3 linked regions of the Caenorhabditis elegans genome follow. The protein of the gene in region 3 purifies or fractionates together with the protein of the main gene of each other region. This does not show direct contact. Each region holds a gene or a part of one and is shown on either strand. Other genes may lie near its edges.

Region 1 (4,274 bases), 8.2 Mb from region 3:
GTCTGGCGGGTGGAATGCCAATTTCCGGATGATTTCCGATGGGATGGGTGGGCATGCGACGTAGCATAGAAGGCCAATGGAGCGGACGATCTCATGGAGCTGGTCACAGATTCCGGGGGAAGGTTCGTCCTGGAAATTATTGATTTTTAAAACCAGACATCTGATGGGTTCCAAAGAAGATGCTATAAGTTTTGGCAAAGCCCCGATTAGTTTGGCAGCCGACACCTCGCGAGTTTAAAATTTAAACTGAAATCATCTTGAGACCGCCTAAAACTTGCAACCGACTCGAGCAGCCGACACTTTATGGGACATTATGGACCCGAATTATTTTTAGCAAAGAAAAAAAACAATTTTAATGTGAAAAAAGATTTGTATTATGAAATTGAGAATTTCCCAAAAATAGCAGCCGACAACTCGTGGGACTAAGCATGACTCAAGCAGCCAACAAATACCGACTGAAAATTAACTTACCTCTTCGAGACGTAGCATGACGAGATGGGAAACGAAATTAAACGATGATTGAAAAAAGTGTTGTTTTTGTTTTGTGAGCAAGTGTAAATAACAACAAAAACGTGGAATGACGTGGATTTTTTATTGATTTTTTTTCATCGAAAAATTGAAAATGGAATTAAGAGGATATGTGTGACCCGTCGTGGAAAATTGTTAGAGAAAATATACAAAATTTAGAAATGTCTTCGTTTTCTGGTGCCCGCGGCGCTAACCGGGCAGGTTTGTGATGCTCCGGAAAGGATCGAGTTGCGGTACTTCTGGAAGAGTGGGCGGATGAAGTCGTTGGTGGCTCCGTCCCAGGCTCTGAAAATAATTCGTATTTTTGCTAGGCTGTTCAGCGGCCGACACCTAACGGGTCTGGAAAAAAACTCACTTTTGTCGGTTTCCAAGTACTTCCTTGTTCTTCTCGGTCTCCTCCTCGATCTTGTTGTAACGTGAGTCGGAAATCAGCTTCAAGGAGATACTCATGGCTTCTAAATATAAAATTTTAATATAAAATTTTATTAAAAAAGCTTGAACGAACCTTCAACAACTGCTCTGACATGTTTTGGAAGATCTGCATCGTTCTGTCCACATCGGGCCATGGCCTGCTGAAGGATTGATACCCAGACCTAAATATATTCAAAAAATTAGGCTAAAAATAGAAATCTTCTGTCAAAATTTACCTTATCATCTTCATCAATGCTCTCATGAATCGTGTTGAAAGCTGGGAATGGGCGTTTTGCCTGTTGCACACTGTTCGGGAGACCAGCGGCCCGGAATGGTTGGGATTCAACAGCAGAGACCGCAGGTGGGTTTGGCATGAATCTGGAAGTTTGATCGTAAGTTTTGAAAAAGAGGACCAGGAAAGTGTTGGCTGCAGCTTCGACTAATTCCCGTGAGCTGTCGGCTGCAGCAATTATCTGAGCACCCCATAATCTATCAGCTGTGTTTTTAGTAGCCTGCCGAATGTCGGCTGCACCTTTGTTACAAGGTCTACTAAAAGCCAGTTTCAGACTATTTTCAAGCCCGTGAGATGTCCGCGGCTTTCTCAGTTTTTCATGTGTCGACTGGTTCCTAAAGATAGCAACCGACACCTGGCGGGCCGCTAATCAAAAAAACCCCAAAACTCACTCAGTCGGTCTAAACTCAGTTGGAGTCGGGACCTGCACAATATGAGCATTCGAGTAAGCTGCCACAATGACCTCAATCATTCCTTCCAGCCCAAGTGCATATCTTCCTGTCTTGAAATGCCCAATATTCCGTTCAAATGCAGATTTCAACGTGTCCTTCGAGATCTTGGCATCTCTACCAGCAACTGTGAACACTTGACGATCTTGTCTAGAATTCACGATGAGCACTGTAGTGTCGCACATTCCAACGTCCTGAAATTTGAAATTATATACAGGAACATTTAAGAATTAAAAGCAGTTTCAGAAGACATACCTGGAAGTTTTGGTATCTTCTTTTCAAGTTATTGGCGAATTTTTCAATGTCAACTGGAACACCTGGTACACTTCCGATTTTGTCGATTATCGCGACAATTATCTGAAAAATAAGTGATTTAGCTTGGCAAGCTTCTGCCAAAGGTTGGAATCTTTCTGACGCAAGTTCGAAAAAAAAATTTGGCCAGGCTTTGGACTGTTTCATTTTTCGTTTTTTAAATCTTTTTCTGCTCTGCCCGGCCTAAGCCTAAGCCTAAGCCTAGGCCTAAGGCTAAGCCTGAACCTAAGCCGGAGCCTAAACCTAAGTCTACGGTTAAGCCTAAGCCTAAGCCTAAGCCTAGGTCTAGGCTTAAACCGGATTAAAAATTTTCGGAAACTGTTGACTTTCTGGCGCATTTCTACCAACTTCAACATTGTCCAACTCAGTAACTCACCTCCAAATTCCTATCAGGCATCAATGCACATGACGGAGAAGTATTCTTAATTCCAGAAGTCAACGAATGCAATTGATTAACCCTCTGCACCAATCGACTTCTCTCCTCATCGGAAACGATAGCCGACGGATCACAGACTTGCGATGGAAGTGCCAACCGACATGAAAATGGATCTAATCGAGGATCTGGGTAGGTTTGCGATGTGAATTGTGCGACTATGGAGGAGATGAAGAAGAATGGGAAGAGAATTAGGATAGGGTCCAGTTTGGGATGCATTCTGTAATGAAATTTGAAATTTTAGAGGTATGATTCCACAAAAACGGCAAAAAAAAACAAAAATTTTGAAGAGCGGCTTAGGATTTTTTATAACAGTTTCTTTAGAAAACTGAGAAAACTGGAAATTGTTAAAAGAATATTTGACCGAAAACAGGTAAATAAAAATTAAAACTTCAAACTACAAACTACAAACTACAATGACCACAAACTATGTATATTTTTGAACAATTTCTATTGAACATTTCTAACAAGTATTTAAGTATACGAATACAAAACTTTAAACAAAAAAAAGCTGCATACTTTCAAACTACCTGCTAAAACTACGGACTACAAACTACAAGCTACAAACTACAAACTACAAACTACCTATTGCCAAAAATAATTTTTTTCCAATATTTTGGAAATTTTCGAAAAGTTAGACTTCGACAGTTTTGAAAATCTTAAAATGCTTGAAATTGTTGATTTTGAAATTCAATACAATTAAAAATAATTTATACGGAGAAAATATCAAAAAATAGGCGGTAGGCAGGCACTTAGGCATGTCAGCCTTACGGAAATAGTGAATGAATAAAAAGTGTGTGACTCTCGCCGAGATTCACCAAAAGCCACAAGTCACACAAGAATGCTATTCAAGTGGTTTTTGTGAGTTTCAGACGTCTCTATATATATACAATTATATACAGTTACAGTTTACACATGCATACATTACCAAGTAAACTACGAGAAAATTCTAGAAGCTTTCATTTTGAATGGGGGGGGGGGAGGGGAGAATAAACAAAGTGTCTATGTTTCTGAGGACTGTAAACCACTTATGCAAATGCTTAAGAAACAAACTCGCTTGGTTTTGTAACGTTTTGTAAAGTTTTGGAGGAAATTCAAGGGAAATGTAGTTGTAGTAGGTACACTGTAATAAATTAAGGCTGAAAACTGACAGCTGTAGTAGTTTTTTTTTTGGAATTTTCCAAAGATTTTGATTTCAGCTTATAGAAAATTTTATGCTGATCATTTTTGCCTCTTGCCACTTTTTTGTATCTTTTACAGTTAAAAAGTTACACACAGTTTAGCGAGAGCAAAGCTAGAGAGTGTGAAGGGAGGGGAGACGCCGACGACGAGGCGCCCTGCGTCTCTCTCCTCTCCACACTCTCTAGCCCATTGGACTAAAAAGGCTTGTATCTCAGGAACAGTAAGGTCTAGAAAGAAGTTTTCAAATGAAAAAATGCTGGAAATTGTTCGGGGATTTTTAATTTTTTTTTAAGCAAGGAAAAAGAAGCCAATTCTACACAATAATCATTGATCTACTAAAAGTTATGAATGTTGCATAATCTCCAGCCGATAATCTCCCTATAAAGTCGCAAAAAAAGTTGCCAAAAATCTTGAGAGACCTGTTGAAAAGTGTTCAAAAGTGGGCAATGAAGAAGAAGTCAAAGCAACAATCGTCTGCCTGTCGGATAATAAGCTTCACCGGACGGGGGTATCTTCTTCTTCGTCTCCCCTCTTCCCCCTCCTCAGAGGAACCGGCTGATGCCCCCTCTCAACACGCCGAACCAGATCCGAAGACCGTCTGCGTCTCCGGTGGCTTTATCGTTCGCCTCGTTGTTGCCTCCTGGGTGTGTGTGTGTGAACCTATCTC
Region 2 (5,746 bases), on a different chromosome or scaffold from region 3:
ATATAGAAATTTGAATTCCACGTGTCTGAAATACCCAAAAATATTTTAGAAATTCGAAAAAAAAAATATTTGACCACAGGTCGGACTCGAACCCTGGTCGTAAGATTTGTTGTTCTCGAAAATCCCACTGCGCCATTCGGGCACTTTTTCCTTAAAACCTGTAAAATCGTTTGTTCATTTACAAGCTGGTCTTTATATGTCTAAACACTGCGTACAAAAATATTTGACCACATGGCGGGCTTGAACCCCGGACTTGTGCGCGATAGTTCTGGAAAATCCCACTGAGCCATTGGTGCATTTTCTCAAAAATTAGGCAAAAGCTAGATTTTAAGCACGGAACCTGATTTCTAGTGAATATTAGTTCATATTTCATTTTCCAGGCTGTGAGACAGTCGTTCATAAGCGGTGCCATGCCCTCATCACCGCCCGCTGCACCTTCGGACCATCTTCCCGAGCTCCGGTTCCTGCTGAAACTACAAATCTGAAAACTCGTCGTAGCCGATCTGCTTCGGAAGAACCTCCATCAAATACTCATCACTTTAACAAGCATTTCTTCACTCGCCCGACATTTTGTGATCACTGTGGAAGTATGCTCTATGGGCTCACGAAGCAAGGCGTTCAGTGCACGGATTGTCATGCAAATGTTCATTTTCGATGCCAGGAAAAGGTTTTGAGGAATTGTGGAATTCAGTGTCAATAAATATTGAAAAAATTGAGAAAAAAAATAAAGAAAAATGAAGAAAATTGGAGAAAGTTAAATTTGATAATCAGTCATAAACTCATATTGTTTTCCGGAATAAAGTTATTATAGTTACAATTGAGGCTCATAAACATCATAACAAAAATATTTGTCACTGTGCGGGTTTGAACCACGGACCTCTGATTGGAAGACATTAAAAATCCCACTGCGCCAATCGGACACTTTCCCGAAAGTTCGATTAAAATGACTTTTGCAGCTTGAAATTTGTTAATCACAGCTTGCAAAAAATAAATACCCTTGTGCGGACTCGAACCCCAGCCGTTTGATTGGAAGACGTTGAAAATCCCACTGCGCCAATCGGACACTTTCCCGAAAGTTCGATTAAAATGACTTTTGCAGCTATAAACTTGTTAATCACAGCTTGCAAAAAATAAATACCCCTGTGCGGACTCGAACCACTGACATCTGATTGAAAGACACTAAAAATCCCACTGCGTCATTAGGACATTTTCCTGAAAATTCGCTAAAAATGAATTTCCCAACTCGAACCTCAATTTCTAAAGCTTGCAAAAAATAAATACCCCTGTGTGGACTCGAACCCCGGACCTCTGATTGATAGACATGGAAAATCCCACTGTGCCATTCGGACATTTTCCTAAAAATTCGATAAAAATCACTTTTGCAGCTATAAACTTGTAAATCACAGCTTGCAAAAAATAAATACCCCTGTGCGGACTCGAACCCCGGACGTTTGATTGGAATAAATTCAGAATCCCACTGCTCCATTCGGAAATTTTCTCGAAAATTCGATTAAAACGTTTTCTTTCGTTATTTTAAAGTTTTTTCAGTGTAAAAATAAACTTTTCACACTCAATTATGTCATACATACCATATAAAAGTTAAAATATTCGTTTTCAGTGTAGTTTTAGTCTGAAAACCCCCACCAAATTTGCATTTTAAATCGTCGTCCGTTGACGTCTGTTCTATGTGTTCATTTCATACTTTTTTGTCAATTCCATGTAAAAAATGACCGTAACTTCTGAAAAAGACGGGTTAAAGAGTATTTTGAGTCAGAAGTATACGGTGGAGCGGAAAGATACCGTGCAGCATGTGCTCGAAGGGCCCGGTTTGAGGTTTGTTGGTTTTAATGAAAACATTTAATTAATTTTTGGGAAAATAAGAAAAACCAGGGAAAAGTGTATAAATTTTCAAAAACTTGAATAATTTCAAAAATATTTTCAAAAAAAAATTCCAAAAAAAAAAAATTTCAAAAAATTTTTTTTTTTTAATTCGAAAAATTCCAAAATTGTTTAATTTCCGATTTCCAGCCGCAACCAAAGCAATGCCAGTGTCCTAACCCTCCCAGGATCCCGAAACACCAGCTCCAACCACTTACCGGCTCAACGGAGCACCTCCGTGGATGAAGTGGCTAGGCATCGGGTCACTTATGAGATGGATGCTGGAAAATCTGAAAAATCTGAAAACCAGAATCCAATCTCTCAATATTATCAGAAAAATCATTATACTGTAACAGGAAATCAGGAAACTTACCAAAAACTTCCCAGGAACATTTCGGCGAACAGATTTCAAGTGGATAAAGCTTCAATTAGTCAGAAAAGTGCTCCGCGAGCCAGTGAGCCAATGGAAATGCCAATGTTACCTCAGGAAAGGCGTAAGTCAGTTTCAAAAAAAAACTACAATTTCCTAAAAGCTATCAAGATGTTTATACGACAAATTAAAAGTTTAGCAGAAAATGTTGGCGGAAAATTTAAATTTTTGAGCAAGAAGTTCAAGTTTTATAAAGATGATTCTTTTAAATTTTAAACTTCACTAGATGATTGGGCGGAAAATTCACATTTTTTCGAAAAAATTTGGCGGAACATCGAATTTTTAATAAGAAAACTTCGGCGAGAAATTCAAAATTTCTCAGAGATTTTTTTTTTCAAAAAATGTATTTTACATTCACATTTTCTCAAATAATTCAGCAGGAACGGCAAGACTTTTCAGAATTTTTAAAAAATAATTTCAAGTTTTCCTGAAAAGTTTTGGCGGGAAATTCAAATTTTCTTTAAAATTTTGACGAGAATTTCAAATGTTCCCAGAAAAATTTAAAGAATTTTCAATTTTTTTAAAAACTAGATTTCGCCCTCACCGACTAAAATTTTTTTCCAGAATTCGACAAATCCTTCTACTGGTTCGCAATGCACCGAAAAAAGTTCGGGCTCCGCTACATAGCTTTGCTGGTTTTGGCGTTGATCTACACACTTTTAGGGGCGACGGTGTTTTATCTGATAGAGGGTTCGAATGAGAAATCGAGACTGCATGTTCGGGAGCAAAACCTAGATAAGTTGTTGGATGAGCTAGCAACTGTGCTCTCAGAAGCCGTCAATGACCCGGAGCAAAGTTCTGAGCATCAGAGGATGAAGGAGTTTATAAAAGTATGGTGGTTTTGAGAAAGCTTGCCGGGATTGTCATTTCAGGAATCCTACATTTCCCTGCAAAAACACGAGGAGCAATACAAATGGAGCACATACTATCGTCTAGAGCACCCTGACAATCTCAAATGGACATTTTCAAGCGCATTTTTCTTCAGTATGAATGTTTACACAACTACCGGTTATGGTACCTGATCCAATTTTCTGTAACTTCAGCCCAATTAATTCCAAGGTTCCAGGTTCAATCTCAGCTCAAACCTTCAGCGGTCAGCTTTTCACAATGATCTACGCATTTTGTTTTGTACCGGTGACACTGGTGATCTTAAGGGATCTAGGCCAGATGTTCTTGGTGAATTTCACAAAATTGTACGCGCACGGGTTGACAGCGGTGAGGAGGATTCGTGGAAAGCGAGAAGTCGATGAGGATGAGATTATACAGCTGCCCATCAAGTTTTGTATGACTATTCTGATAGGTTAGCGGAAAGACCTCTGAAGCTTCGAAGATCTTAGAAGTAGCTCCTGTAGCGTCAAAATGCTCAGAGCTAGCATGTACCCGACTTTGTTTAAGATACCTGAGCTTGACTAGGCTATCCATAGTTTGTTAGACATTCTAACCTCGTCGAAACTTCCTAGAGTCAGCCAGGCAAGCCTAGGCTACCTAGGCTCTCTAACTGTCCTTGAAGACGAGTCTTACATGGTTCAGGCCATCATTTAGCCCGCGGTCTCCAACCTTACCCATCCTCGGTTCCAACTTTCCAGCCTACCTCCTCCTCTGCACCACGTTCGTGTACCTCTACGACGCCGTTATGGGCCCGGAATGGGACGACGGCCTACCGTACTTCACCGCATTCTACTTCTCTTTCATCTCTCTCACAACTATTGGTCTAGGCGATGTGATGCCAAATAATGTTCCGGTAAGCTTTTTGTACCTTTTGTGTTGCTTAATTTCAAAATTTCAGTACGCCCCGCCGGTCTCGATGATATTTTTCATCGGCATGGCAGTCACAAAAGTTGTGAATCGAGCAACATTTATTGCAGTGGAAAATGGGGTTTTTGGCCTGATGACCTTGGCGGAAACCAAGATTAGCATGCTCTTGACGGAACGGAAACCTGGTGTAAAAACTGTCAGATCAACATCATCAGGGTCTTCAGCAGAGTCCGTGGATTCAAAAGAGCCACGTGGATTTGATGGGGACTCGGATAGTGGATCGGATGATGGGGTAAGTCAAGCAGAAGATCAGAGAACATATTATTGCATAATTTGGAACTATAGTCACTCTGAAAAGTAAAAGAATCAAGTGAGAAAAAGTGGGTAAAACTGATAACGTTGGAAGCGTTATTTAAAGTCTGAACATGAGCTTGAGAATAAGCCTCAGCTTAAGTTTAGGCCAGAGTCTAAGCCTAAGCTTAAGCCAAAGCCTAAGCATAAGCCTGAGCCTAAGCTTAATTTCTCGAGTTTCTAGTACCTAAGGATAATCGGCCAACAGGAACCCCCTCAAAAATAATAAAAAAACCGGAAAATCCAAAGCCTAAATAGCGTCAGTAGCGAGCCAACGCTCGCCACTGACGCCAAGCCTGAGCCTAAGCCTAAGAGTAAGATTAAGCCTGAGCCTAAGCCTAAGCCTAAGCCTAAGATTAACCAAAGCCTAAGCCTAGACCTAACCCTAAGCCGAAGCCTAAGCCTAAGCCAAAGCCAAAGCCAAAGCCTAGTTCTAAGCCTGAGCCTAAGCCTAAGCCTGAGCATGAGCCTAAGCTTCAGACTAAGCCTAAGCCTGAACCTAAGCCTAAGCATATGCCTAAGCCTCATACTTTCAGGTAATCAACCGCCGCCGAAACGAGATGATGAACACCTTCACCGTCCGATCAATTGCCACATTCATGCGTTCCAACCATGACGTCTATGGTGGAGGATTCGGAAGAGTTCAACTAAGAAGAGGAGACCTTATGAGCTCTAATGCTTTACATACTGTACCTTGGGTCAGACCCTTACCATAATAAATTTTTCAAACCTTTTCTTTTTCGACCATCAAAGATCCAAGATTGTTCTGGCGTCATTCCAGGGAAAAATGAAAATGAAATGAAAAAAGCGAACTGGGAACAAAAATAATATGTCCACTTGTGGAAATTAACTTTCTCTTTAGTGTCCTCAAGTACAAATATACAAATATGTTGCATTTCTGGACAATTACAGACCATCGGCCACGTAATTTAGCCGACGAAAAAAGTGAAATTATTGCATAGGGGGATGAAACCGTAGCGGAAACCAAAAAGGCGGCGCCTGAAGAAGAGAAGCATAATTATAGTGAAACTTAGTGTTAATTGCCTTCTCTACATTGCCTTGTTTCACATCATTTTCTCCTTCCCCTCATCATCATTCATCAGTCATGGGCATCCGTATCACTTTTCCAGATGTTCGTTGATTCTGGTTTTTTATTTATTATGTGAATTTGTTCTGATCTTTTCTTTTTTTGCGGATTTCCTTATCAGAAACTTTTCGGCTTTGAAGATTAGAATATGCTTTTTTATGTTTCAAAATATCATTACTTATATATTTAAAAAAATCATTCGTTTGCCTCCTTTGTAGTTTGTAGCCTATGTAGTCGTTGTAGTC
Region 3 (6,706 bases):
ACTGATAACTGGATTGACAATATCTTTCTTCGAAATTGGATCCTTTCTACTATGTTGAACTTGCATCACTTCCATTTCATTTTCATCGTTTTTACTTTCATCCCTTATAGATTTGATAATGTCTTTGAAGTACTGTCGCTCGCCTTTCACATTTTTATGGGTTTTTTTCGCCTTCTCGTATAACTCCTCCAATGCTTTTTCCTGCAAAATTATTATTAATATAATTTGTTTAAATATCTGCAACGTACATTCGGAACCTCGTCTGAACCATCTTTCAGGTCATTATGCAACGCTTCAAAAATGTGTTGCATTTGAGCACCTTCAGTCTCCAATTCCATCAACTTCATTGCATCTTTCATCAATGTTTCTTTGAATTCTTCAGAATCTACTTCATTTGAAATAGCATTTTTTGAATTGATATGAAGAACATCCTCAGCAGCCTTTCTCAGACTTTTTCGAATAATTTCCATACTAGTGGCGAGCTGGGTAGACATCTGGAAGGGATTTCACAACTTATTGAACTTCTAAATAACAAAAAAAGATAATTCAAAAATCGTTATATACGAATAACATTAGCCTACAAATGAACATTTAAAATTTAAAATTTTTTATTGAATTAACCCATATTTTCAGAAAGTGATTATGCATGAAAATTTTGAACATAAGGCGATAAAAACCAGGCAGTGAATAAGAAGTGATTAGGTACCCATATTCAATTTTCCTATTCGGACAGAAAGATGGAAAAATATGGAATCTTTGTCGTTTCCCCAAGCTTCGTGTAGAGAAAGCAGCTTTTGTAAAGTAATTCGAACACTTGTTTCACATCGATCCAAATAGTCAAGATCCAACGTGTTGGAGACTGATCTGAAAATAGTAATTTTTCATTTTAAAAAGCTCAATCAAAAAAGCTGCAGTCATGGCTGTAAATGTTTTTTTTTTTGGAAAAAAATACGAAAAATTATGCTTCACAAAACAATTTTGAGTAGAAAAAAATTAAAGTCGAAATTTTAAAAGAAAGTACAATTTTGGTCAACTTGTTTTAGATTTTCAAAATGAAGTTTCAAACTTAATAATTCTTAGTTTTGGTTTTTTGTTGCTTTTTTTGTGTTTTCGGTGGAAAAACTTTTTGATCTGATCTGAAAGTTGAAATTTAAATCCAATGGCATTGAAAGTGCCAAAATATTAATTTAAATGTTTGCATTTAATAATTGTATAACTTACCGTAACCGTATCTCATCTGTCATAGTCATAAACATATCCATATTTTCATGAACCAATCGTCTGATTCCAATGCGTACAACAAGATCTGAGAGCTTCTTGTGACCATCTGTAATCGCATTTTCCACCTGCTTCAAGCTTGTTGCATTCACAATTTGATCACGTGCCGTTCGAAATACATAGCGAACCTGGAAAAGGATATTTGAAAATTATAAAAAAGATATTTAAGAAAACCTTATCAGAGAACAACTCTCTGAAATGTGACACAACTTGTTCGAGTGTGAATACAAAGAAACGAAGTTTTGTTCTAAGTGCTCGATTCATTTTCTCGATTGCATTCGTTTTGTGATGAGCGAGAGAAACATCGATTGTGGATTGTGGACATTTCATTCGAGATAGTAGTTCTTCTGAAACAAAAAATGTAAAATTACATCCTTGACCGGTTGAAAAGCTCACTGTCATTAGCCATCGTAACTAGCAATTCTCTGGTTCGATATGCGCTGTGTGCAAACTTCATACACTGATTCATGACGTCAATAACTTCGGGACGAATGAATGAAGCCAGCATATGCTCGAGCTGAAAAACATTTAATTTTCAAAATTTTATTCCAATGCTAATACCTTGCATGTGAATTCAGATTTTGTTGAAATCCATGAGAATATATTCATATTTTCCTTACTCATCCGACCTCTCGATGCCAACCAAAATGCATCAGCAAAGTTGGTAACATTGGAATCTGATCGGAAGACTGTTGTTGCATATTGCTGTGAAATCGAACCAATGACAACATTCTGAAAGAAAAAGTTTTTGTCAGACACCCATCAATTCTCCGAACTGATAATATTTTTTTTTATCAGTAAATTTAAATCACATGCCTCTAAGTCGACCCACAAGTTGACAAATCGGTTGTTTCTATGTAATTCATTGAGTAGCTCTTGTGCAAACTGATCCTGAAGTAGGAGACATGTATCAAAAAATAGAGATCGGAATTCATCAAATGGTAGAAGATCTTCAGTGAATTTAGCTGCGGCTCGTAATGAATCAAATGCATTCGTGAATGTTTTGACTGGAAATTCAATTAATCCAACACGGATCCGACATTTGACTGCTTCAAGAATGATTTCAATCAGTTCTTCATCCCAAAGTAACGATTGAACTTCTTTGATATCTCGACAAAGTAGAATTTGAGCATCCGGTTTGACGTCACTAAAAATAAAGTTTTAAATTAGTATTTACGGAGTTTTCGTTATAATTTTCAGATTATTTTGATTATTAGTAACATTTCAAACACCATCACTAATCACTTATTCTCCACACCCTGATATCAACCCGTTTATCTCATGGCCATTCTAGCGGAAATAAGTGAAATATGCAAATATCTCTCTAGATATCTCTTCCGAATATGCAATATTTCGCATGGAAATCAAATTAAAAAACGCTGGAGAAATTTGAGAATTGACATGATGGAATTTTTGGAGGAAATTCTGAAAACAGGTTGAATGATGAATGACCATAGCTAGAAAAAAGTATAAAAAGCAATGAGAGAAATCTGATAATTATGTCAAGTCTGAATATGACGTCGACAGCTACTGCATACGCGGCTATTACCGTCGGACTCGTTTCGATCGGATTCATTCTTTTTGCTGTTCAAGGTATCAGCTCCAACATCGAAGATATCCGAAATGAGATGAATATTGAGATGGATGCATGGAAGGTAAGTAAATATAAAGTCCGTTATATGTTATATAGTAATAAAAATGTGAAATTTTAGTTTGAAACTGACAGTCTCTATCGTGATATGCAAAAGTTCGGCCGTGTTAAACGTCAGTATGGAGGATATGGAGCTTCTGGAGCCAACCCAACACCTCACGGTGGATTCCCAGGAGGCGCATCCCCAATGAATCCAGGAAGCTTCCCAGGAGTTGTCGGAGTGCCACCACAATTCAACCCAACACAAGGAGGAGAACCAAATCCAGGAGGATCTTGCAACTGCCAGGCTGACAATTCGTGCCCAGCTGGACCAGCTGGACCAAAGGGAGCTCAAGGATCTGACGGAATCGACGGAATTCCAGGAGTGCCAGGAATCGATGGACAGGATGCTGACGATGCTCAAGCTCAAACTCAACAATATGCAGGATGCTTCACTTGCCCACAGGGACCACAAGGACCACAAGGACCACAAGGAAAGCCAGGAGTTCGTGGAATGCGTGGAGCTCGCGGACAAGGAGCCATGCCAGGACGTGACGGAACTCCAGGACAGCCAGGAAGCCTCGGACCAGTCGGACCAGTCGGACCACAAGGAGAACCAGGATCAGAAGGAGAACCAGGAGCTGATGTCGAACATCAAGTCGGACTTCCAGGACCAAAGGGAATTTCTGGACCAACTGGACAACCAGGAGATCAAGGACCACAAGGAGATACCGGAGCTCAAGGTATTCCAGGAGCACCAGGAGAGCGTGGACCACGTGGAGACAAGGGAGATAATGGAGAGAACGGTTCTGCTGGAGCACCAGGAGAGGAGGGAGAGCCAGGAACTGATGCCGAATATTGTCCATGTCCTCAAAGACAGGAAAGTGCACCAGTCAATGGAAACCAGGGATACAAGAACAGACGTCATTAGATGCGATTATTTATTTTTCTTCTCTTAAATATTTATATAAATTTTTCAAGCAAGAATCTTACGTTTTAAAACTTTAAAAATCATAAAATTGAAACTCACTTGTGCAAAACAAAATAGTCGATAGCTGCAGGAACTCTTCCAATTTCGAAAATATGATCCATAATTGACAACAAAGCGCGAATCCATTTATTTTGTAACAACTTGACAACATCCCTCTTCTTTGCGATGGCATCCATTTGTGTTAACAGGAATACACGATTCCAAGAGTTTTCAATATCTTCCCATAACCAAATATGTCTTCCAACATCATCGCCAATCACTGCTCTCACTATTTCCACCTCTTCCATATTTTTATTTAGTCGAGCCAATGTCTGTAAAGGATCTTCCAGTCGCTCAGCACGAAGTTCGTCGAGATGACAAGCGTGATCTCTAAGAAATTGTTTCACCCAATCACAGAGTACAGTAATCAGTGTCGGAAGCATCAGTTGACTGTGTTCTTCACATCTCTCCACAAATTCACATATTTCGTTAAGCTTCCGATGAGTTCGAGTGAGGTGGTCGGCCAGTGTTCGTAGCTAAAATAACTTAAATAATTGATAGAAGAAATATTAAAAATTTACATAAGATTTTTGAATATTCGCATACGGAGATTCCATTGGAAAATAATAATCCGAGTTCACTTCAAGACCACCAGACGTCAATCTGTATAGAGGCATCGACACACGATCAGTGCATATTCTTCGTTGAGTATTTTTCTGAATTATAACGTTTATTTTTGATAAAAATTATTTTAGTTTTTGAACTAACTTTAACAGGTAAATCAATAAAGTCGATGAGATGAACAGCGAGCCGTTGTTGAGTGAGCAAATAACTGTCTGTTCTCAAAATAAAATGATTAATATTCGTTTTTGAAAATCCGAATTTCTTACCCATTTCTTTGATGTTCCATACTCTTTCTGTACTCTTGACATCGTTTTACATTGCTATCATGAAACTTTTTTATTTGATGATTCTTACGAGATGAGTTGAACTTCTAAAAAAAAACAGTTTATAAAAAGTTTTCGTTCATCTTCAATTACCTGTAGAACAGCTGGAAACGGATCTCTAGGTGTCGTGAGACATACTGCAGAATCAGCACGTGAGATGTCTCCGCTTCCTCCTTCGTCACGATCTTCTAGACAAGAATTGTAGAACATTGTCTGAAATTTGTTCTAACTATTTCTATATTTGGTTCCCTACAGTACCTCCTGCGTGCATTGATCGAATTCCACAGAAATTCCAACATCGTCGTCTTCATTCATACCTGAATTATATTTTCCTATTTTCAAATACCACAACACATAAATAGAAATTCTGATGAATATAAATACAGATAATTGAATATCTTCTCAAAAATCAAACGACAAAAATTTATTCGAATTATTATTCGTCTCATAGAAGTATCATAATCAAAACACTAAAACTACTGAAATTGTCTAGAAATAACGAGAAAACAGCTCATCAAAATATCTACATTGAACCGATTACCAATCGTTCGAATTAAAAGCTATAGGACTGAGTGAATAAGGGGAAAAGCACCAAAATTAGTTAAATTCAGACTAGTCATTTTCATGGCGTTGGCGGAGAGTCCGATCGGAGATAAGAAGATGCAAATTGTTCGAGATTTCGGAGAAGAAACACTGCTTTTCCTCTGAAAATTAATTTTATTAATTCTTGACACAGATCTAAGAGGACATACTTGATTGTTCCCAATGTTCGAATTGTTGAATCAACTGCATCAATTTGTGTCTTCTGTACATCCAAATCGTTTTTCATTTCTCTATGGACTCCACCAACAGTTGCTTTCAATCCGTCAAAGACTTGGTCCATTTCTCTGAAAACAACAAATTGAATTGAAAACTATACGGTTTAAAAAATACCTGATAGCTTGTGTTTCACAGTGATGAGTATGAGCTGTTGAAACTTGTTGCATTCGAGCAGCTAAATGTGATCTGAACTGTTCTTTCAAATGTTGTTCCTTGGCTCCCGAATTCCAGCGCATTCGTTCCCATGCATATAGTCCAGCGTAGGCCGCTCCTCCGACAGCAATTACTCTCCAACCAACAGCCTTATACACAATACCACCAACAACTAGCACTCCAAGACTTCCGTTTGCTAAAAATGCGGCTGATGTCAAAACCATTTGAGTCATCATTGCCTGTTCTTCGGAAGCTGCAGAAGCTTCTGCATCTCTCACTGAATTCTTTTCGGATTGTTGTTTTAGTGATAATGGAGTAAGCAAATTGGTGTTGATTGCAGTGACAGGTTGGCCGCTTCGATACGCAATGATGCGACGAATTATTGCGTGTAGACCAAATGTGAATCGGAACTCGAGGTCTTCATGGAAATCACTGAAAAATGTAAGAATGAAACACAAAAAATCCATCGAAACTCACTTGACAAGAGCAGGGACATCGACACAAATGCTAAATTTGAAAGGAGCACGATATCGCCACACTTCTTCAAGCTTATTCTGATAAGGTTCGGCGAGGATTTTTGTCACATATTCTGGAAAAAAAATTTTTTATAACACATCAGTTCCCAGATAAACACTTACGGAACATATCATTCTCCAAATTCCAAATTCTTGACATTAGGCCACCGGTACATCTAGCTTCCAAATCACTGCTCAAACATTTGTCCACAAAGATTGCCAAATCCTCTTTATACTTTGTCATTCCGGAAGAGCTTCCATCGAAAGGTTGTTCAAATCGATCAATTATTGCATCAAGTCGTGCTATTTCTTCAAAGAAATCAGCAGAAACTTTCAGATGAACTTCGGCTCGCAGTTGCTCTGTCTGCTCACGGTAAGCTTTTTCAAATTGAGT

Evidence for each region.
Region 1: the proteins of gtap-1 (region 3) and F01D5.6 fractionate together in Caenorhabditis elegans (co-fractionation; one large-scale study listed by BioGRID). This does not show direct contact.
Region 2: the proteins of gtap-1 (region 3) and twk-36 fractionate together in Caenorhabditis elegans (co-fractionation; one large-scale study listed by BioGRID). This does not show direct contact.

The regions. Positions count from the first base shown.
Region 1 is NC_003280.10:14,004,881-14,009,154, reverse strand, and holds F01D5.6 (TPM domain-containing protein), read right to left. Parts: upstream 2,646-4,274; 5' UTR 2,645-2,645; coding exon 2,369-2,644; intron 2,038-2,368; coding exon 1,936-2,037; intron 1,875-1,935; coding exon 1,624-1,874; intron 1,426-1,623; exon of another isoform or gene 1,320-1,425; intron 1,318-1,319; coding exon 1,176-1,317; intron 1,122-1,175; coding exon 1,034-1,121; intron 984-1,033; coding exon 884-983; intron 814-883; coding exon 684-813; 3' UTR 567-683; downstream 1-566. Other genes in the region: F01D5.7 (Serine aminopeptidase S33 domain-containing protein), read right to left, coding at 1-129, 472-489.
Region 2 is NC_003283.11:17,743,035-17,748,780, reverse strand, and holds twk-36 (Potassium channel domain-containing protein), read left to right. Parts: upstream 1-1,721; 5' UTR 1,722-1,726; coding exon 1,727-1,833; intron 1,834-2,028; coding exon 2,029-2,372; intron 2,373-2,872; coding exon 2,873-3,138; intron 3,139-3,180; coding exon 3,181-3,322; intron 3,323-3,374; coding exon 3,375-3,608; intron 3,609-3,894; coding exon 3,895-4,049; intron 4,050-4,094; coding exon 4,095-4,355; intron 4,356-4,950; coding exon 4,951-5,130; downstream 5,131-5,746. Other genes in the region: R12G8.1 (Phorbol-ester/DAG-type domain-containing protein), read left to right, coding at 381-700.
Region 3 is NC_003280.10:5,828,093-5,834,798, forward strand, and holds gtap-1 (Dynein heavy chain 7, axonemal), read right to left. Parts: upstream 5,145-6,706; 5' UTR 5,141-5,144; coding exon 5,084-5,140; intron 5,039-5,083; coding exon 4,919-5,038; intron 4,873-4,918; coding exon 4,769-4,872; intron 4,720-4,768; coding exon 4,647-4,719; intron 4,595-4,646; coding exon 4,460-4,594; intron 4,415-4,459; coding exon 3,939-4,414; intron 3,931-3,938; exon of another isoform or gene 3,840-3,930; coding exon of another isoform or gene 2,991-3,839; intron 2,934-2,990; coding exon of another isoform or gene 2,793-2,933; exon of another isoform or gene 2,426-2,792; coding exon 2,095-2,425; intron 2,011-2,094; coding exon 1,840-2,010; intron 1,796-1,839; coding exon 1,675-1,795; intron 1,626-1,674; coding exon 1,453-1,625; intron 1,407-1,452; coding exon 1,222-1,406; intron 865-1,221; coding exon 699-864; 3' UTR 590-698; downstream 1-589. Other genes in the region: ZK1248.11 (E3 SUMO-protein ligase NSE2), read right to left, coding at 1-201, 249-494; col-74 (Nematode cuticle collagen N-terminal domain-containing protein), read left to right, coding at 2,793-2,933, 2,991-3,839; Transmembrane GTPase fzo-1, read right to left, coding at 5,448-5,529, 5,578-5,712, 5,759-6,229, 6,275-6,386, 6,436-6,706.